Linked DNA regions of Diceros bicornis minor. The protein of the gene in region 1 purifies or fractionates together with the protein of each later gene. This does not show direct contact. Links are inferred from orthologs where the notes say so. Each region holds a gene or a part of one and is shown in the gene's direction. Other genes may lie near its edges.

The links. The genes of interacting proteins can lie anywhere in the genome.
Region 2: the proteins of FBXL17 (region 1) and KLHL9 purify together in Homo sapiens (co-immunoprecipitation; 3 studies listed by BioGRID and IntAct, with this or other methods). This does not show direct contact. The link is inferred for Diceros bicornis minor from reciprocal best matches to the Homo sapiens genes FBXL17 and KLHL9.

What each region holds. Positions count from the first base shown.
Region 1 is NC_080740.1:31,795,022-31,806,020, reverse strand, and holds the start of FBXL17 (F-box/LRR-repeat protein 17), read left to right. Parts: upstream 1-6,441; 5' UTR 6,442-6,502; coding exon 6,503-7,492; intron 7,493-10,999. UniProt on the Homo sapiens protein: Substrate-recognition component of the SCF(FBXL17) E3 ubiquitin ligase complex, a key component of a quality control pathway required to ensure functional dimerization of BTB domain-containing proteins (dimerization quality control, DQC).
Region 2 is NC_080761.1:43,537,228-43,548,563, reverse strand, and holds the start of KLHL9 (kelch-like protein 9), read left to right. Parts: upstream 1-7,092; 5' UTR 7,093-7,617; coding exon 7,618-9,471; 3' UTR 9,472-11,336.

The sequences.
Region 1 (10,999 bases):
CCAGGGAGGATTATCCAGTACCTGAGTAGCTGCAAAGAACAATGTCTCATCGCTGGGCTCAGGAGGTCAATTTAAGGGAAAAAGTCCCATAATCCAGGGATTAATGAAGCCAGCAGTATCAGACAGAGGATCGGAGCAGAGGTGAGAGTTACTCCTGCATCACTGCTTCTGCCACCCTTCCTCTGTCCCCAGCTTGTCCCAGGAGGGATTACAGATGTAACTTGAACGGCTCTTTCAATCCTTCCAGTTTGAGGATCCTGTATGCTTATTTTATCTCCAGAATGGGAGATGAAACCCATTTTATACAGAAAAGGGGTTAGGAAGGGGCAAGCTGCTACTAGTAATCAGACTTGGGAGTGGAGCAAACAGCTTTGGAGCATCAACATTTAGTTATTATACTGATACCACAAATTGTTGACATGGAGAATTGTGGCTTGCCATTTTTGAGTCACTAAAAGTAATTTTAACTATCTGGCCTTTGTTTGTTGTGAGCAAGTACATAACTACTTTAAAGTTATATAACAAGAAACCCAAATGTTACTAAACTTAGGAGGAAAAACATGAAATTGGATAGGGAAACACATGTAACCTCTTTTTTTCTAAAAGCCCTGTTTTACTAGTTGAAAATGAGAAAATATCAATTATAATATAGGCTATAACTGGGCACAGAATTGAGGAGATATAAATAGTAGAACATCTTTGTGTTGTATTAATTTCATTTAAGTGGAGGAAAATATAAGTGAATCTTAAGCGAAAAAAAAACATAACCTCCTACCTTTGCCTCAATTATCCCATTAATTTATATAAAAGTGGGAGAATAACAAATTCTCTGTATTAACTCCTGGTTGTTTCCTTTCATGAACTTGAATTAACCCTTGGAGAGTAATCGATTGTTTTGCTTTCTCCTGTTAAACTACATCAAGTCTCGGTTTCCACAGGACTGTGTTTGGTGGTTGAATACACTTTCTATTCCCGCAACAACATATTATAACAAATGCAGTGATTTAAAACACCTATTTGTTATTTCATAGTTCTGTATGTTAGAAGTCCTGGCAGGGGCACACTGGATTCTCTGCTCAGATTCTCACCAGGCTGAAATCAAGATGTCAGCAGAGCTGCACTCCCTTCTCTAGTTTGAGGTCTTCTTTCAAGCTAATGTATTTGTTGGCAGAATTCAGAATTCTGTAGGACTGAGGGCCAGCCTTCTTGTTGGCCATCAGCCAGGGGCTACTCTCAGTTCCTAGAGGCCACTTGCCTTTTCCTGCCACGTAGCTCTCTCCACAACATGGGCGTTTGCTTCTTCAAGGCCAACGGTAAAGCATCTGCTGGTGCTTTGAATCTCCGACTTCTCCTTTACTCTGACTTCTAGACCTTCTTTTAGAGGGTTCACCCGGGATAATCTTGCTTTAAAATTCAACTGATTAGCGACTTCAGGTGTTTGTGATTTGAGAGTAAACAAAGTAGGGCTTAATTCTGATGGAAGTGATAATCAACTAATAGTGAAACACCTAACTGCAGACAGGGGTAACTGCTGTGAAGGAAATGAACAGGGAGGTGTGACAGAGTAACTAGGGAACAGCTTTTGTGACAGGAGGTGATATCTGGGCTGAGACCTAGAAGATGAGCATGAATCAGTCTTTAGAAGAGTTGAGGGAAGAATACTCCAGGCAGCGGCTGAACTTTTATATTGTGTCTGAAACAAACTATTCAAGAGTACAGATCTGCCTTCTGAAGGGAACTCTCTGAAAGCTTGTTGTCTTCTCTATTATCTTTGGCTTTCACTATTTTGGTAAAAACACAATTCAATTAGAGATTAAATTTATTGAACACCTGGGGTGTTGCATGCTTTCTGGATGCATAAACCAACATCTTCTGACCCTAGAGAGTGTCCTAGGCCATCCATTGCACCTACTACAATCAGTGGGAGCCATGGCAGGTTAACTGCGCTCTACTTATATCATTGGTGCTACAGGATGTTTTAGCTATTTATAACCACCTTCGTTACCCAACTGCAACCATTAAAGCCTTTTTTTTTTTTTTCCAGTGAGTAAGATCAGCCCTGAGCTAACATCCATACCAATCCTCCTCTTTTTGCTGAGGAAGACTGGCCCTCGGCTAACATGAGTGCCCACCTTTCTCCACTTTATACGGGACGCCGCTACAGCGTGGCCTGAAAAGCGGTGCCTTGGTGCACGCCTGGGATCCGAACCTGGGCCGCCAGCAGCCGAGTGCCGCGCACTTAACCGCTAAGCCACGGGGCCGACCCCCATTAAAGCCTTTTATACATGAGTGTCTTTTTATAGGCAAATGTGAATTTCAAAGTGAGTATATTCTGTGTTGGCAAAGAAGAAAGAAAAGTTTTCTTTTAAACTGTTTTTCAACATTTTAAATTTATTTACTGGCTTTCAGTGTGAATGTCACTACGTCGTAACATGTCTACCCCAGGTTTGAATTTTATTCAAATACGAAAATATTTTATATTACAGAATCCATTATTTCACAAGTTATATGCTGAAATAAGTCATATGAATACACAAGTTGCTATTCCTGACTATCCATTTCCCCCTCCTCTTGAGTTCATAAATAAGTTACTAAATCCTGAGAATCCTGAGAAACATATCAAATGTTTCTCAGTCCCACCCCTACTTCATTATCCCCACCATGATTGCCTTAGTTCAGGCTTTTAAGGCCTCTCCATTGACCCTTTGAACAATCTTACCTAGTTTTCCTGCTAAGAGCCTCGTCCTTCTCTAGTCCATCTTCTATACAGTTGCCAGATTATGTTCCTAAAAACTGAACAAACTCCCTGTCCTCATGGGCTTACATTCTAGTGGAAGAGACTGAATAAAGTAAAAGAATGACAATAAACACGTGATAATGAGGTATAAAGAAAATAAAAATGAGGTAAGAGGAAAGGGTAAAGGAAGAAGTAATTTGTTTTATTGAGATATAATTGACATACAGCACTGTATAAGTTTACAGTGCACAGCATAAGGAGGGGGTAATTTTGGATAGGGTGGTAACATTTGATTATAACAAATGTTCATGCACTCCAGAAGCCAAAGACCAGCAGGAACACACCCATAATCAAAGCGAGTTGGGTTTATTGACTTGTCACAAGGAGGCAGATAGCACACCATGAGGAACTATGGAAAGCCTCAGGAAGAAGGTGTTGTAAAAGACTTATTACAGGATTGGGCTTGTGTTAGGTGATTTTGGGAAGAGTCAAGGCTTTGGTTTAGATTGGACGCTGTCAGGAAGCAGAGGTAATTCTATGATTGGATATTTTAATAATTGTTATCTAGAAGGTAGGAAGAATGGAGCAAGGCTAAGGTTGTAATTGGTCAAGAAACAGAAGTCACTTATATTAGCCAGAATGGTCATTTTTGTGGTTTGGAGAATGTTCTGGCATTTGCTGTGTTCAGACATGATTATGGAGGTCTTATTTCTGTCTTGTCTATTACGGTCACAGAGTGGCCATGTCTGACGTTGACGTTTTGTGAGATCTGTTTATGTTCAAATAGAACACTCAGACCTACCTGAGAACGTCGGTAACACCAAAGAGTAGCTAACAGTTCCAGGCCAGCTCCTGGATGATCAGGCTGCTTTTCTTTTTCCCACTAACAAAGCCATAAAGTGCTATAATTGTCTCTAAATTGCAATTTATAACTTTTATTCATAATTCTGTTTCCTGAATATTTACAATGTTTATCATTATTATTTAGGGTAATGAGCTCTAAAACTCATTACAGCTCTGCTGACGACACGAGTAGCTTTCTTAATCATTACTAAAATATACAGGATCCTCTGCTACATGCTGTTGTAAAGAGAAAAACAGCCACCTGCTTGCGGCTGAATGGCTCGGGAATCGGATTTAAGAACTACTGCTGTGAATTTCGGAAACCACTTAAAAAGTCTCAGAGTCACTTGCCTCATCTCTGAAAACAAAAAGTTGGAGTTATACTATATGTGCAGTTCTGATAGGGTTGCATGGTGCCAGGCTGTCTGTGTAGTAATCACATGGTGAGCTTGTTAAAATCTGGTAGAGCTTCTAGGGCCCCAACTCCAGAGTGTGATTCAGCTTCACTTTTTGAAATTCCTACACATTGTTGTCTTTAAAAAAAAAAAAAATTGCTGAGTAGTATTCCATCGAATGAGTATACCAGTTTATTTATCCAATCTCCTACTGATGGACATCTGGTCTGTTTATAGATTTAGGTGATCATGAATAAAGCTGCTATTTTTGAACAAGTCTTTTTGTGGATGTATGCTTTTATTTTTTTAGATAAATACCTATAAGTGAAATTGCTAGGCCATAGTGTGTGTTTAACTTATATGAAACTAATGGGTCCACAATTCTGACATAGAGAAAGTAATAAAAAGGTTTAGAACCCCTCCTTTTGCTCACAGTGTAGGCTGGTAGAGATGCCAAAGGATCGGTTATAACTCCTAACCTCCTGTCCTCACCTATGGAGCTGTGGGGCCCTGGAAGATCCCTTTATAGTCAGAGGGATGAAAGCTGTGTGGATAATATCTGTACATGAATGTAGTTTGGGCAGTGCATTTGATAGGGAGTAACAGGTATAAAAACCTCTACAAAGATTTGACAAATCTTTGCCTCTAGGTTTCTTGGAATTCCATCTCACTGTGATCAAGCTCAGAAAGGATCCCTGAATGTTGGCAGACCTAAAATAAAAGTCATTCCTGACAAGCCACTGTTAGCAAAGGTTCCTTGGTGTGTTTGGGTGAAGGCTGGGTGATGCTAGCCACTGTGGTGGGAAAATCACACAGGCTCAAACAATGGTCTCTAAGCCAATAGGCCTTGGATCTTGCAATAGTGCTTCCTTAGTCAGTTCTCTGAAGTTTTTAGTAGCTTTTTTAAACACCTGACACTTTCCTTCCACCCTTCAGCAGGTAACCAGGCTTCACATAAAGGAAAATAGAGACCATTTGAAAGAAACTCTTTCACTTTCTTGCCAGAAACATCTATCTATCTGTATCCATTGTTTATCTGTCCTTTCGTTATTCCTTCCAATTACAAAGAAGATGGTAGCCCTCGTAAGGTACTCACCAGTCCATCTTCTCAGGGGCCTTGTTGTATCATCTCTTCTCGTATCCCTATGTTTTCCTTTATACTGGCTCATTCCCATCTGTGTTTAAGCCTCTTCCAATTTCTCCCTTGGGAAAGCTAACCTCTCAACACCAGCCACCGCTTTGTTAAATTGCTCTCTCTCTCTGGTATCATAGTCAAACCTTCTAACGGGTTGTCTCCAAAGCCTATTTGCTCTCTCTCATCTGGGTCCCCAAGGTCCGCCTAGAACCGTCTATCTTATAGCAGGCACAGCACAATCATTCTTGAAATATATGATGGATGGATAGCTGGGATTCCGAGGGTGCAGACGAAAAAGTCATCTACAGCTTGTAGCCTGGGATGTTGGATGACTCACTGGGTTGAGAAACTGTTTATTTTTCTGATATGTATAGGCAATTTGATATATGCTTTCATTTTGAACTAAAGTTATGAAAAGTCAGTAGTCTGCCACAAGCAACAAGTACGAAAACAAGTCGGAGAAACACGGCAGTGCTGCACTACCAATAAGCCCCTCACGTAAGAACACAGGTCCGTCTCCTCCAAAGGCCACGCATCTGCCACTCCACCGGAGGCAGCCGGGACCCAGGGTGGCCTTCCGGCGGAACCGGCTTTACGGCTCCTTGGGAGCCTCGGTCTCCTAGACCGGGGGTGGGGGTTGAGGGGAAGAGCGAGCGGCTCCCGGCCAATGGCAGTTCTTGAACTTACACCTACAGACGTCAGCGCGGCTGTGCAAACGGATGTCACACAGCTGGCTCGGAAGCGTCTCCTCCCGCCCCACGAAAGGGGCGTGGGCCTAGCGGCCTCCGCGAAACCTTGGGCGACCGGAGGGAGGTGCGTGCGCCGCTCCCCGCGAGCCCCGCGCCCTCGCCGGCCCGCTTCTTCCCAGCAGTCCCTGCCTAGCGGCTGTCCCGGGTGAGCAGCCGGGCGCCCGCGCCCCCGCCCCGAGCGCGCCGCCGCCGCCGGCTCCGCCCCCTCCCCGCGCGGGCCGCGCGCTCCTGTGGTTTCGAGCTGTGTCGCGGGCGCGCGCGCCGCCGGCGGAGCCGCAGTTAAAATGGTCCGAGCGGGACCCCGCGTTCCCCCTGCCGCCGCACTGACTGACTGAGCCGGCGGGCCAGGCTCGGACTGGTCGCCTAGGCGGCAGGCTCGCTCCCTCTGTCGCGTCCCCAAAGCTCGCGCCCATCGTTCTCCCGGCTTCCCTGGGCAAAGCATGTAGCCCCCGTCGGGCGCCGGGGCGGCCCGCATCTGACGCCCACCCCCCACCGTCGCGCGTGTGCCCGTGGGTGCGCAGGGCGGGCGACCCCGCCGCGGGCCCGAGGCCGAGCCAGCGAGCGGCCTGCCCCGCTGCCGGGAGCCCGCCTCTCCGGGCCTCCCTACTTCCCCGTCCCGGTCCCTCTCCCCGGGGCCTTCTATATGGGCCACCTTCTCTCGAAGGAGCCGCGTAACCGCCCGAGCCAGAAGAGGCCTCGCTGTTGCAGCTGGTGCCGCCGCCGCCGTCCTCTCCTCAGGTTGCCCCGCCGGACCCCGGCCAAGGCGCCCCCTCAGCCGGCGGCGCCCCGGAGCCGGGACTGCTTCTTCCGCGGGCCTTGCATGCTCTGCTTCATCGTGCACAGCCCCGGCGCGCCCGCCCCCGCCGGCTCAGAGGAGGAGCCGCCGCTGTCGCCGCCGCCGCGGGACGGGGCCTACGCCGCGGCTGCCTCCTCACAGCACCTGGCGCGGTGCTACGCGGCCCTGGCTGCCGAGGACTGCGCCGCCGCCGCCCGCCGCTTCCTGCTTTCCTCGGCCGCCGCCGCCGCCGCTGCCGCCGCCTCGGCCTCGTCGCCCGCCTCCTGCTGCAAAGAGCTGGGGCTGGCTGCGGCTGCCGCCTGGGAGCAGCAGGGCCGGAGCCTTTTCTTGGCCAGCGTGGGGCCCGTGCGCTTCCTGGGGCCGCCCGCCGCCGTGCAGCTCTTCCGGGGGCCGACCCCGCCGCCAGCCGAGCCCCCCACGCCCCCCGAGATGGTGTGCAAGCGGAAGGGGGCCGGGGTCCCCGCCTGCACCCCCTGTAAGCAGCCCCGCTGCGGCGGTGGGGGCTGCGGCGGCGGCGGTGGCGGCGGCGGGGGAGGACCCGCCGGAGGAGGCGCCTCGCCGCCGCGGCCCCCCGACGCCGGCTGCTGCCAGGGTCCAGAGCAGCCGCCGCAGCCTCTCTGCCCCCCGCCCTCCTCTCCCACTTCCGAAGTTGCCCCCACAGAGGCCGGCGGGGACGCAGTCCGAGCGGGGGGCACCGCCCCCTCGCCTGCCCAGCAGCAGCATGAATGCGGCGACGCGGACTGTCAGGAGACCCCCGAAAACCCCTGTGACTGTCATAGGGAGGCGCCCCCTGAAACCCCAGACATCAATCAGCTGCCGCCATCCATCCTGCTCAAGGTGGGTCTGGGCGAGTGGCGCAGGGATGCGCGCTTTCCCTCAACCCCGGCCCCCCACCTCGGAGATTTTCTCTCTCCTCCCCCTGAGCGCAGAGGAGGGGGTTCCCTGACAGCCAGAGAGGTCCGAAGGGTAGATTGCAAAGCCAATGGGGAGGATGCTTATGGACTATTTTTTGAAGTAGAAAAACTTGGAGTCTACTGAATGTCTTTTAATAACTTGGGTCTATTAGGCACAATTCAGAGTTCATCTATCATTAGATTCCCAGCCCAGGGGTTTAGAAACTATTCGTAGGTGTTCTGTGAAATATTTTCATCAGTTGAGCAATTTTTACTTACTGGGTAAAGATTTTGTGTACATATTAGTGTTTGAAAGTCTTCAAACAGTACTTTGAGGTTTGGTAGTTGCTAGTTGATGTCAATAACAGCTAACTTTTACTGAGCGTTTACTATGATCAGGCACTGTGTCAGAGCTCTATATACATAATGTCTCATTCAATCCTCCAATTACCACTGTGAGATAAATATCGTAAACATCTTTACTTTATACAAGAAGAAACTGATATTTCAGTGCTATGTGCCTACAGTAGTCAGTCAGGCGGAAATTGTCTTTGCTCTTATGGAGCTTACAGTCTAGTGGAGCTTGAAGAGGTTGAATGACTTGTCCAAGGTCACACACAGAAAGTAGGGGGTAGATCTGGATCTTGAACTAGGGAATTTAGGCTTGCCTGACTTGAAAACCCTGTTGTTTGTGCTGTGTTGTATTGCCTTTCTACATTTTAACCCTTACATAAAAGCGTACAGATTACCAGAAGGTAACAACAGATGTATTTTTTGTTGGGGAATGGGCCAGTGGAGAAGAGGTGAGTGTCCTGTGGGAGCTTTGTCTCACATTGAACTACAAGTAAATTTTGCAGTTTTGTTGATGCTAGTGACAAACTTAATTATGTGGTAGAGTTTGTATTAAGTTATTATTAACAAGTTAGTTATTTTTCCTCATTTTCTCTCATCTCCCCCAACTCCCACCCCCCCCCACACCTTTCTGGAGCTTAATAAATATAAACCTCTTTTTTCAATGTGGATGATATTTAAGACTAGCCAAAAATAACCTAGATAAAAATTTGGCTACTTTTATTGTTATTGAAGTAACTGTCATCAATTCCATTTGTTAGTGTCATCAGTATACTTTCTTTGTTTGGTTAGACTTTTTGCCTATCTATAATCCTGTGATTTTTGGGTCTGTTTTATTGTGATATTAATGTTCTTGTGAATAATACAGCAAAAGAATGGGAAAGCTTAATTTTTCCTTGTGTCAGTAGGTAATGATTTAACTCTTATTGAGGTGTACTTGTTGGCGGAGTAATTGGTTTCTGTGTGTGTTCAGGATGTGCATTTTTAGGGCAGAAGGAACTTCCTTGAGTCTTTTAAATCAGTGGATGACATGGACAAATAAAATATCAACAAATATTTGGTATAGAGGTTTGATTGCTGTCTTGTTATTGGGCAAGTAAGACTGTTTAAAACCAAACCAAAACGGAAACCAGGTACTTTCTACCTAAATCATTATTTCATGAGGTAGAGAACGTTATAATATAAAAAGAAGAAAGGAGGAAGGACATGATCTCGTAATAAAGAGAATTGCTATAGAATAAATTTATTCTATCAGCTACATTGTTCTTTCTCGCATTTTTGCTGTGGACTTTTGAAAACTTGGTCTGAGGAACATATGAGAAATACCGGTTGGACTTGCCCTGTTGTGTCAGAGTATTTGCACATGTTATGTAGATTTCCATTCTTTGTATTAGAAGCTTGAATAAAGATTCTCTTGTGGGTCTCATGGTCCTAGTGGTTCAGCATGAAGTGAGTTGGATTGTTTGGAATGAATTGAAATCGAGGTTTTTCAGTGTTTACCAATCCAAGTAGAACTTTTAAGGATAAGCTTTTTGAGGACAGAGGCTCTATCGAAATAGATCTTGTTCATTGCTCTGTCCCCTCCCCTAAGTGCAGTGCCTGGTATTTAGTAGCATTCAGTAAATATTTATGAACGAAGGAATGACTAGGTGTTTAGGAAGTCTGGGCTGAGACTCTGGGTGCATATGTCATGCCGCTAAGAGAAGTCTCTAAGAAATGTTTATATCCTCCCTTGAGTTATTGTTGTTTTGAGCCATGATAGAGCTATGTGATGGTGAAAGGGTTGCGGCTCTATTTCTGGTGAGAACTGGAGATGTTTGGCTTGGAGAAAAGAAGACTTAAGGAGCTTTGACTTTTTTTTTTTTTTTTTTTTTACAGTATTAGAAGGGTTGTTGCATAAAGAGGCACAAATCCATTGGAAAACATTCTTAGAAAGTTTGGCCTGCTCCCCTGATAATGAGTCAATAGTCTTTATAATTGTATTGCTGCATTTTTGTACCAGAAATTACCATAGCTGTAAAAAAGAGTGTGCAGAGGAGGGAGAGTTTGGGAGAGAAATGGGAGAGAAAATTTTTTTTGTAAGTATTAAGTATTATTTGCTTTAAATTTAAATAATGCAGGTAAAGCAAAAATTTGCCTTGGTTCACCCCTACCCTCCCATCTAGTTTCCTCTCCAGAGGTAACTAACCACTGTTACCAGTTTAGATAGTTCTTCTAGACCTGACCTGTTGAGTACACTAGCTACATGTGGCTATTTAAATTTACAGTAGTTAAAATTAAATAAAATTTGGGGCTGGCCCAGTGGTGTAGTGGTTTAAGTTCCTGCTCTGCTTCAGGGGCCCGGGGGTTTGCAGGTTCAGATCCTGGGCACAGACCTAGGCACTGCTTTTGAAGCCGTGCTGTGGCAGGTGTCACACATAAAGTAGAGGAAGATGGGCAAGGATGTTAGCCCAGGGCCAGTCTTCCTCAGCGAAAAGAGGAGGATTGGCAGTGGATGTTAGCTCAGGGCTAATCTTCCTCACAAAAAAATAAATAAATAAAATTTTAAATTCAGTTTCTCAATCACAGTAGCCACATTTCAGAGATCAATAGTCACATGTGGCTGGCAGCTGCCCAACTGGACTGTGCAGATCCAGAACATTTCTATCATTGCAGAAAGCCCTAAGTTTTCATAGATTTTTTAATAAGTGTCATCAAAATGTGCATGTTCTGTAATTTTCTTTTTTTTTTTTTGGTTAACAGTATGGTTTGGAGGTGTGTCCTTATTAGTAAGTATATGATTTCCTTCATTCTTTTTAACTACTACATATACTATTATACCATACTCTATATATTTCTCTATTAATGGATGTTTCCAATTTATTGCTACTACAAACAATGCTAATAGATGTTTTCTATGCACAGGTGGTCATATTTTTCTTTTTTTTTTTTTAATTTTTATAATTTTATTCATTTTTTCCCCCAAAGCCCCAGCAGATAGTTGCATGTCATAGTTGCACATCCTTCTAGTTGCTGCATGTGGGACGTGGCCTCAGCATGGCCGGAGAAGCAGTGCGTCGGTGCGCACCCGGGATCCGAACCCGGGCCGCCAGCAGTGGAG
Region 2 (11,336 bases), on another chromosome or scaffold:
TTTGGGCTCTAAACAGAGGCTGACATCGCCATGGATTTATGCCGTGGACCTTCCTGTACCTTCCCTATTTTCCGTGGATGAAGCCTCTGACACAAACACCTCATCCAGTTTTTAAGCTACTCTTTCATGGAGCCTGTAGCAGCAACTGGGGTGATTTGCTCTCCACTAATCCCTAACTAAGTAGGGATCTCTACTAATTCTCTGTTCTGGGCAAGGAAACTAATCTCTGTAATATGGAAGGACCCAAATTCCTGCATCCCTTCTTTAATATTCACCTTCGAAGAGTCTCCTAGGGTCCTCTCTCTCGTGAGTGGATGATAGATTCTTGTCCTGTGTGCTACCCTTCCAAGTCTGAGGGGATAATTCTACAAGCCTATGGGAAGAATTAGACGGGACCCCTCTCATGGCCACCCGGCCTTCTTTTGCCACAGGTAGGGGCTGAGGGAAAGAGCTATCTAGGCTGGAGGTTGAATTTCTTGAGATAACCTCTTCTCTCTGACCTGCTTGGGGGCTTCTTCCAAGGAGCTTTGCAACATTGGCCATGGAATTAGTCCTTAAAACATGGGTAACTGAAGGGGGAAAGATGGACTTGGGAAGTGTAAGTCAAGTGAGGAGCTAGTGTTGAAAGACAAAGTCAGGAGTAGGTTCAAGTATCTTGGCATGCTCCATGGGTTGAAGGTAAAAGGCAAGTGGTGGGATAAAAAGGATCCTTGAATATTGTGGGATCTAATGATAAAAAGGGATTTGGAGGGAAAGAGGCACCCACTGGTGGTGGTGATAACAGGGAAAGTGAGGGGGTAGCATGGTCCAGTGGGCAGGTAAAAAAAGGCCAGAGTGAGCAATGACTCAGTGGATCCCAAAGATGACAAAGAGAGCAGAATCTTCCCCATGTCCCCCAGAAAAGAATGTCTGCTTCCATGGTTGCTATAACTGCCCCAGAAAAGTACCCTCAAAAGAGAACTGGTACAGGTCCCTGCAGGAGACAAGAGGTTCCAAGTGCATCCGGGAGCAGACTGGGGACAGGTCAGGGTGCCACACAGCCCTTTACTGAGATGACCATCCTTGTCTAGACTGTCCTCAGTTTCTACACTTTTGTAGAACTAGCATCTCTGCTGTGAGAATAGTGTGATAAATGAGCTCTCTGACCAGTTGTCCACACTCCCTCTAAGGAGTCTTCAGATATTATTTATCTGCATGGACAAAGATAACCCATTCGCCTGATGCAGCTAGTGTGATCCGAAACCCATTTTCCCAACTGTTCCATGGTCTCAATATATTCTTAAGCCACTATAATACATGTCTTCTAGATGTTTTTCTCCTAATCACAAGGTTCTGTGTTTCACTCACAGTACCATACTTTTCTTTTAATTTGGGGAATCTACCCAAAAACAGACTTGATGCAAGGACAACCAGAGGTCTCTGTGTTTTAATTAGGGGCTATCACGGTGAACACCAGGAAACAGCCGTCAGAACCATTCATTGATATTATTCTGAAATGAATCAGGTAAAGTCCTCTCCTTCACGGGACTCTCATCTTCCAGGGACAGGACAGAACAGGACCATGCCCTTAATCCTAATAGAGGGTAATTAGTGCTCTAGAAGCAGCTGTGGAGCAGGCTCTAGGCATTCAGCATTGTGAGTTAAGAACTCTGCCTAGGAATCAGGGTTCAGTGAAGATGTGATAATTAGCTGGGCTTTTCACAAGGGGGTGATTAGGAAATTTCCAGGCAGACATGGAGTAGGACTGTTCCCTTTGACTACTGTGTCAGAGGGAGAAAGGGATGTTGCAATCCTTATGCAAAGTTATGATAAGCATATTTCCCTAATTATAAAGTCAAGAGATCTGTTATAAAAAATGAATTTGTGAAACTGGGAATTTACTATTAACAGAAATTTAATGTACCATCAAATATGAGATTGTACTCAAAATACCTTTGCAGTTTTTACCCTCAGATTTTCAGGCTCTGCCTACCTACCTGGCAGACAGTCTGTGGAGTGGGAGCCCTGAGTCTGCTCTGCAGGTTGGAGGAAGGAAACGCATTTTGGCTTCTTTTTCTCTCACCGTAGCTGCCCCTGGCCTAAAGGCGCCACGCCCTGCCTGAAAATGAAGACTCGTTCTCTTTGTAACGAAGACGATGGCAAGAGACTTATGCCAATATTAGGGTCAATTCCTGCCAGGAAAGAGCCCCTTATCAGCTCTGGAGTAAAATTCCAGAGGAATTTCTGGAGGTAGAAAGGAGCACATCTATGCAGACCAGAAGCCTGCCCTCCAGACTTGGTCTCTGGCCCTGTCACACTTGGTCAGCAGGGGCCTCTTTTCCTGTGACAGCTTTATTAGCCCACAGTCACTGGATCCTACTTTCTGCTTCCTTTGAACTACATGGGCTGCCCTCACTGTTCAAAAGTATTCAACATAAAAGAGGGATACTTCTCTTACATATGTTTCAACAAAATCTGGAAATATCGTTCAACTATTATTCTCTACTTATGTCCATCTGGGAAAGCTTTAGGCCAGAAACCACAACAGAACAGGAAGCAGTTGTATTAAAAGGGCAGTGCAAGTAAACGGAGTGAAGGAGGAGGGTTCCTGGTAACTTCTACACTGAAGAAGAAGGAAACTGTTGTGACATGGAAGTAATAGATCCAGGAAAGCTGGGAGAGGTGCCAGTAGAAGTGTGCAGGTGCCAAAATGGGCAAAAGAATACAATGTCTTTCCCATTCCTGTCTAGGAGCTTCCTCCCAATTTCAGATATTGATTTAAGCCACTGTGCTGACTGAATATAGGTCAAACATATCTTTGATATGATGCATACCTGTTTTTCAGTCTTCAAGGTTCTTGCCAGAATTCAGCTGACTTTGGTCAGTCAGCTATCAAGAGTGAGATGGTACAATTTCAAACCAGTTTATAGAAAAAGACATGTAATATTCTCATATAGGTTTATATGGAGAAAATGAAGACAATGGCTATCACTTATTAAATGTTAACTCCGAGGAAGGAACGATCCTAAATGCTTTAAAATGTACTTACATCAGCTCTACAAATATTTTTTACTCCATATTCCATTTAAGAAAAATGAAACTCAGGGAAGTTGAGTTGCCTCTGGGCAGAATGTGGGTTCCATGCAGAATCCCACATAGTGAGTTATGGTTGATTCTTTAAGTTACATGTTGGGTTTCTGTTTTGTTTTGTTTTTATCTATTACTTGCAGAATTATGATTTCTCTTTTTCACTGTACTTCTCTTTTTGATGGCTACATTTGTACTTTCTGATGATTTTAATATATTTTTGCTCTTTCCCTTAGATTTTTGTGGAAGAGAAATTCTCCAATCCAATTTCATTTTTCCATTTGATGAAGGAAGTTTCTCAAAATTTTACATTCATTGCAGTATGGTCATTTCTGAGTCCACAAAATTTCATGATTTTTATAAAGCCAACGCTGACCTCTGTAGAACAATTCAAACGTTAATCAGGAAAGATCATCAAGCAATAATATCAAAGAATAGAGCAGGAAAAATTCTTACATACCTAGCCTTACCATCTTTACATACCAGCTTACATACCAGCTTCACCACAAATCAACTGTATTTATAAAACAGCAACAATATAAACATGGTGACAGTAAGGAAAGTTAGGTGACCAGAGTAATAAAGAAAATAATCCCAGAAATTGTGGTATTATCAGTAATAAGTAATTTTGGAATTAAGGGTATCTTAGATGTTAATAAGGAAGAAAAGTAGTTTCAGTAAATGGTAACAGGATAAATACCTGGCAATCTAGACACAAATCAATTTAGATTCTTGTCTCATAGATGAAGATAAAATCCTAATAGAATATAGAAATAAATGTAAAAGATATAAAATATAAAAGGGAACTGATCATTCATAAGATCGATAGAGGAATGAGAATGGGAGAGGACTGGTCCTACATGTTCAACATTCTGGCACAGGAGAAAATACTTAAAAATGAGCTGTTATTTGTCAACATAAAATTGACAAAGAGTTGCATCATAGGAATACAGCTGCCATCTGCATAGAAAGGTTTATGTCTACTTTTAAGAATTAAAGATATATAAAACATCATTCATAAGGACAATACAAAAGTAGTTAATATAAAATAAAACCCAAATAAAGAGAACTAAAAATAGCAAACAAAGCAAAAGAAAAAACTCTCTAGCCCACTAGTATTTTAAAACAGTTGAACAATGATGCTTGACATTTTAGCCTATTAAATAAGCAGTTATTTAAAAGAAATAAAATATCGATTTTATATGCTTTGTGCCACTACATCCATTTCTTGAAATCTGTCTCCCCAAAAAAATGTTTGTAAAAGGTTAAAAAAATTAGGTCCAATAATATTAACACACATTTTTTCTTCAGGTCCTACCCTATTTCTCTTCTCTTTACAGATAAACTTCTCAAAAGAACTTTCTATCCACTCTGTCTCCAACACCTTTCCTCTTATTTAACCTTAGTCAATATACTCCAGTCTGGATTCTATGGAATTAATTCTGCCAAAACAGCCCTCATTTTCCCTGAATACAAGACATTGGCTTTTAAACACATTTCTTTCCTTAAATATCTTCTCATCACCATTCTCTCCTGCTTGTCCTCCTATTGTGCTGCCATTAAATTCCAGCGCCCTTTTCAGGCTCCTCATTCTCTTCCCTGCATTCAAATGTGAAGGTCCCTAAGGTTCAGTTTCTGGTCATCTTCCTAGTCTCTACTCTCTTTCTAAAAGAACTCATTCATTCTCTGGCCTTCAGGGACCAGGTAGACCCCAGCTCCCAAGTTAACACTTCTAGCCTTGACCCTCTGTAAATTCTAGAACTGTATGTCCAACTGTCAAAGTTGAGAGTCTGCATCCTCCAGTTTCTGGTGATAGGAGCTACTTTTCTTTTGCCTATGGTGTTAGCATATAATGTAGTTGAAATTAATTAATTGATCAATATTTTTATGTTTTCTTCCAGCAAAAAGGAAAGTTTCAAGAAGGCTGGCACTTTTCTTTCATCACCTTTTTATCCTGTGAAGGCAGTCATAGAACCTGTAATTTAGATACTCAAGTGTTACATATAGCTTGAATGAAATCAATGAATGAATGAACTGTACCTCCATACTTCACTTGAGGTTGCAATATCAGTCTTGGCATTGATTTATTAAAAATATTGAAATACAATAAATATAGCAAAATAGTTAAGTACATAAGTACATTAATAGGGTCACCTATGTTGGGCTGGTGCCCTCTTTGAACTGGATGCTTTAACTTATAGTTGCTTAATACTATCAACAAATGTTGTGACAAACTTTGTTCAATTTATTTCATGATGAAGGCAGAAAAAACAGTCTTTTGAAATGACTAAACATGTGGGAGTATGATGAATTGTATCTCTCCATAAGAATTGTTTCATTAAGATTATAGGTCTGGTTCCTTAGCTCTTAACATTCCCTGCAAGCTTGACAATAAAGAGAAGGATCTCATGATTTCCTGCTCTAACAACTTCCCAGGTACAGCAGTTCTATTCTTTCTTTTCCATATAGAAACTGATTCCTTGGAAATACCTCTTCATGGCCAGTATGGAGTCCTTCCATCCTCAATTCCTGCACCAAGCAGGTCTCAAGGACTTCCCAATGCTGATAAAGTCCAGGGAAGAACTTCTCCAGGCCAGTCTCATTCCAACCATCCTTTTATGCTGAACAGGTTGAAGATCTGCTGAAGCATCTGGTGGAGGACAGCAGTGGTCTGAGCCTTCTGGACCTTGCTGCTATCCACCAAAAACAACTGAAAACAATTGGAACCAGCTAACTGTCCATCAGTAGGGGCCTGGTTAAATAATTTATGACACACCCATTCAATGGGAAACAATACAACTGCTTAAAAAGATAAAGAAGTTCTCTATGCATTGAAGATCTCCAAGTGAAAAAAGATAGGTGCAGAACAGTGAGTGGGGCATGCCATCTTTTATATAAAAATAGAGAGAGTGTAATAAAAGAATATAGCTATATTCTTATTAGTTTGCATATGTGTAAAGAAACCGGAAGGATTTAAAAGACAGTAATAACTTCAAACTGTGAAAAATGTTGGAAAAAATTGTGTCAAAGTATACATTTATTCATGTGCCAAAATTTAAATTTACTGGTAATTAAAGAAATACAAGTTAATAAAATATCCACAAAGGGAAAGATCAGTAGAGGGGAAATGCACACTCAAACATTGCTGGTGGCAATATTTGGAAACAAATTTTTATGTCTTGAATCACTATTTTACCCTTAGGATTTATAGAGAAACAAGGGAAAGGTTTGTGCCCAGATTCTATAGGTTTATTAAGATTCTATAAAACAATGGGAGACAAGAAGGTATGTTCAAGAACATACAATGTTCTTGTATGTTGAACAATGTTTGTTCAAGAACAAACAATGGGGAAAGAAAACTACAGTATGTTTAGTTATTGGACAATTGTGTACTCATTTAAAAATTTGTGAGTGGAAAACAAAAGTATGAAAAAATTATCGATGTTGGAATTCCACTGAGAGGCAAAAATTCAGGCTATATTATCTACATAGCATGGTCACAATTTGGTATTTTAAGAGAGACAAATGATATGTATTTTAAATAATGAAAAATTTGAAAATATGAACCAAAGTTACAATTGAGGTGTCTATTACTTTGTGTGGGATAAGAATTATAAAGTTTTTAATAGAGGAAAATTTTCATGCAACTTCCCCTTATGCCGTCATCTGCCATATTTCCTTTCAATTTCTACAAAAGCCGCATTTTATTGTTATTCAAAATACAGAAGCCAGTACGCATAAATCTTAAAGAAAAAGTACGCATTTGTGGGGAGAGCTCAGATGCCGTGAAGAGTTGACAGCAAACGTGCAGCATAATATACGGGCACCCCTTCCGGGCCTATTGAATCCCACAGACAAAGCGACCCGCTGAGGCTCCGCTCGCGCCCACCCCCATCCTCACCCTTCCAGAGCCCTGCGCCCTTCCTCCCCAGCCCCCACACGCCCGCCCACTGACAGGTCGGGCGGCCGCGCAGGCGCAGTAGCTGCCGCGGCCGCTCCTAGCCCGGGGGATCCTGGGACTCGGCCTTTCCGGAAGGACCGGCTCGGCGTCTGGGTCTAGGCCCGTGTTCCAGGCCCAGATCCAGGCCCAGGCCCGTGTTCCAGGCCCTTGCTCCAAGACAGACCCGTAGCCGCGGCGACGCTCTCGTGACAGCGGAGGGCGCAGCGGGCCGCTCGCTGAGGTGCCCGGCCTCGCCGCCGAGCGAGCCGCGGAGCCACAGTACGTGGCGGCGCTCCCCTCGGCTCGGAGAGGAACTGCTGGAGGAGCGGCGGCGCAGGCCTGACCAGCTGAACCGGGTCACTTAACTGGCTTCAGGTGATGAATCATCTGCATAATAGTGAGATTTGAGGTCCACAGCGCTTTGTGGTCCTGCGCCAGAGCGGTTTTCAGTGGATGACTGATTGGTGTGTTCCGAGGGGTGCCGCAGTGATTGCTTGCCCTTGCTAAGGAAAGCGAGCTCTCCTGCTCTTTGGACATCCTCGTTTCCTAAAGCATTCAGGTTGTGACCTCTGTCTCCGGCATACGTCTTTGTGCAAGAGGAAGGCTTTCACATGAAAGTGTCTCTTGGTAGCGGCGAGATGGGCGTTTCTGCCCATTTACAGCCTTGCAAAGCAGGAACCACGCGTTTCTTTACCAGCAATACTCACAGTTCCGTGGTATTGCAAGGCTTTGATCAGCTCAGAATAGAAGGATTGCTTTGTGATGTGACCCTGGTACCAGGTGATGGAGATGAAATCTTCCCTGTTCACAGAGCTATGATGGCATCTGCTAGTGATTATTTCAAGGCTATGTTCACAGGGGGAATGAAAGAACAAGATTTAATGTGCATTAAGCTTCATGGGGTGAACAAGGTTGGTCTGAAGAAAATAATTGATTTTATTTATACTGCAAAACTTTCTCTTAATATGGACAATCTTCAGGACACACTTGAAGCTGCCAGCTTTTTACAAATTTTACCTGTTTTGGACTTCTGTAAAGTGTTTCTTATTTCAGGAGTCTCTCTAGATAACTGTGTTGAAGTTGGGCGAATTGCTAACACCTATAATCTTATAGAAGTGGATAAATATGTCAATAATTTCATCCTGAAGAATTTTCCTGCATTATTGAGTACTGGGGAGTTTCTAAAACTCCCTTTTGAACGGCTTGCCTTTGTGCTTTCCAGTAATAGTCTTAAGCACTGTACTGAACTTGAGCTCTTCAAGGCTGCCTGTCGCTGGCTAAGGTTGGAAGACCCTCGGATGGATTATGCTGCAAAATTAATGAAGAATATTCGATTTCCACTGATGACACCACAGGACCTCATCAATTATGTGCAGACAGTAGATTTCATGAGAACAGATAATACCTGTGTGAATTTGCTTTTGGAAGCTAGCAATTACCAAATGATGCCATATATGCAACCAGTGATGCAGTCAGATAGAACTGCTATTCGATCTGACTCGACACACTTGGTTACATTAGGAGGAGTTTTGAGACAGCAGCTGGTTGTCAGTAAAGAATTACGGATGTATGATGAAAGGGCACAAGAGTGGAGATCTTTAGCCCCCATGGATGCTCCTCGTTATCAGCATGGCATTGCTGTCATTGGAAACTTTCTTTATGTAGTTGGTGGTCAAAGTAATTATGATACAAAAGGAAAAACTGCTGTTGACACGGTTTTCAGATTTGATCCTCGGTATAATAAATGGATGCAGGTTGCATCATTAAATGAAAAGCGCACATTCTTCCACTTGAGTGCCCTCAAAGGACATTTGTATGCTGTTGGTGGGCGAAGTGCAGCTGGTGAACTGGCTACAGTAGAATGTTACAACCCAAGAATGAATGAGTGGAGTTATGTTGCAAAAATGAGTGAACCCCACTATGGCCATGCTGGAACAGTGTATGGAGGCTTAATGTATATTTCAGGAGGAATTACTCATGACACTTTCCAAAATGAGCTCATGTGTTTTGACCCAGATACAGACAAATGGACACAGAAAGCTCCAATGACTACAGTCAGAGGCCTGCATTGCATGTGTACAGTTGGAGACAAGCTCTATGTCATTGGTGGCAATCACTTCAGAGGAACAAGTGATTATGATGATGTTCTAAGCTGTGAATACTATTCACCAACCCTTGACCAGTGGACACCAATTGCTGCTATGTTAAGAGGTCAAAGTGATGTTGGAGTTGCTGTCTTTGAAAATAAAATCTATGTTATAGGTGGATATTCTTGGAATAATCGTTGTATGGTAGAAATTGTCCAGAAATATGACCCAGAAAAGGATGAGTGGCATAAAGTTTTTGACCTTCCAGAGTCACTTGGTGGCATTCGAGCTTGTACTCTCACAGTTTTTCCACCTGAAGAAAACCCTGGGTCACCTTCTAGAGAATCACCTCTTTCAGCACCTTCAGATCATTCTTAGGAATAAGGTGTAATACCTTTGCAGTGCATCATGGATGATCTCTTTCCCCTTCAGCTGTATCTTCTTAACAGTGATTGGTAGTTATTAGATAAAAAGGTAACTGATGTTATTTGTGTTGTTTGGCTTAATGTGTTTATCAATGGTTAACAAATGTGTTCTGAAAATGTATTCAACATAGCCAACTGTTTTAACAAATGTAAAAAGATATGTAGAAAAATGTTCAAGTTAGATGTCTTTTTGTGGTGTTGTGTAAGTCAAATTGTAGATGATTGTAGTAAATGTATAATTATGTTCATTATGCTTCAAAGTTGAAAGTTTTCATCTTTGACCGCAAAACATCAAAGGGAGGCTGTGTGCTCTAACCTAAAAGAATAAACAAAAGATCACCAAGCGTTATTAGCTACCTCCCTTTTTTCATAGAGTTTTTGCCATAGCTCCCAACTCACCAGATTGTGTGAGTGCATTCAGATAATGTGAAGTTTCTTAGACAGACAGGAGAAACAATAAATTCAGAAATATTAACTAGAAAAAACAGCATAGCCCTAAGTCAGGGTTTAGTATCTCTTTGGAGAGAGGGACAGGGAGAGAGAAAATATAAACAAACACACATATACATACATACATATGTATATATGTACATACACATATACATGTATAATTATTAAGTTGATTGGCTCTTCAGCTATAGTAGAATTGGTTTTAAATTTAAATTATTTTCTTTCATATAGCAGCTATTTCTATTTAAATGGGAATTCAGTACCAGAGAATAAATGTCTATATAGTCATAATTGAATTGAGATAGATAAGGGCTACAGCATATTAAATTCACAACCAAATTTGTCATTTGACTAAATTGTTACTTCAGATGAAATGTCTACTACTTTTTCTGCTTGTATATTATTTTCTGTAGAGTTGCTTTTATACAGGTTATTTAGCAAAGTTTAGGTTTCCGAGAATTGTTTTGCTCAGTAAATTTAGGCTCTGCTATTTTCCACCTTTTTCTTTGGTAAAACTTATGATATGAAAAAAGCAAAGAAAGAAATGTGCTGAACAAAGCTATAGGATTGTAAGTTCAGTCTCCCAACTTAGTCATCCTAACGTGATTATTTGATCTGGTGGGGTTGCCGTGGTGCTGCACCACCCCATGTGGGTCCTGAGCTTTATGTGACCTGCCTCGAGCCTATGATCTGAGCAAGCAGGTGATATGCTCTTGTCTGCATCAAATCAGAAGAATGTCCTTACGGCTATGTCTAAAGGACAGGACCAACTTCAGATTCCCTAAGAAGCCAGCTACAGAAAGCCTAGGACACTGCTGTCTTGCAGGCAGTACTAAATGAGATTTTCAGCCTCTTCAATACCTAGGGCATCTCTAATGGTTGAGAACCACATGGGGAGATCTTAATGGGACCTTAGCAAATGGAATCATAGGAGTCCTCTGTAGTGATTCTAAAGAAAAGCTTTCCTGGAATAAATTGTCTACCTGAAGAAAAATTTACATATATATATTTACATACCTATATATGTATATCCCTATACTTGGGAGATTGTCATAGTGTAAGTCAGGAACAACCTCGTTATTGACAATCCCATAATAAAACTCAGGAACCAAGACAGAAGGAATTGGCTTCCAGAGATCTGACCCTTATTGCCCATACGAGTGTTGATTGATTAAATGCTTTTTGTGATTTCTGCCTTGGCAGAAATTTTCATACTTTCTGTGTTTTTTTAATGACTCACTTTTTTATTACTAAAAATAGCACATTTGAGTACATCTAGAAAATAGAAAAAGTAGAAATTACTGTTAACCTTGTGCATTGAATAAGCAAGAAATGCCATTCTAATAATTTCCTCAATTATTAATAAGG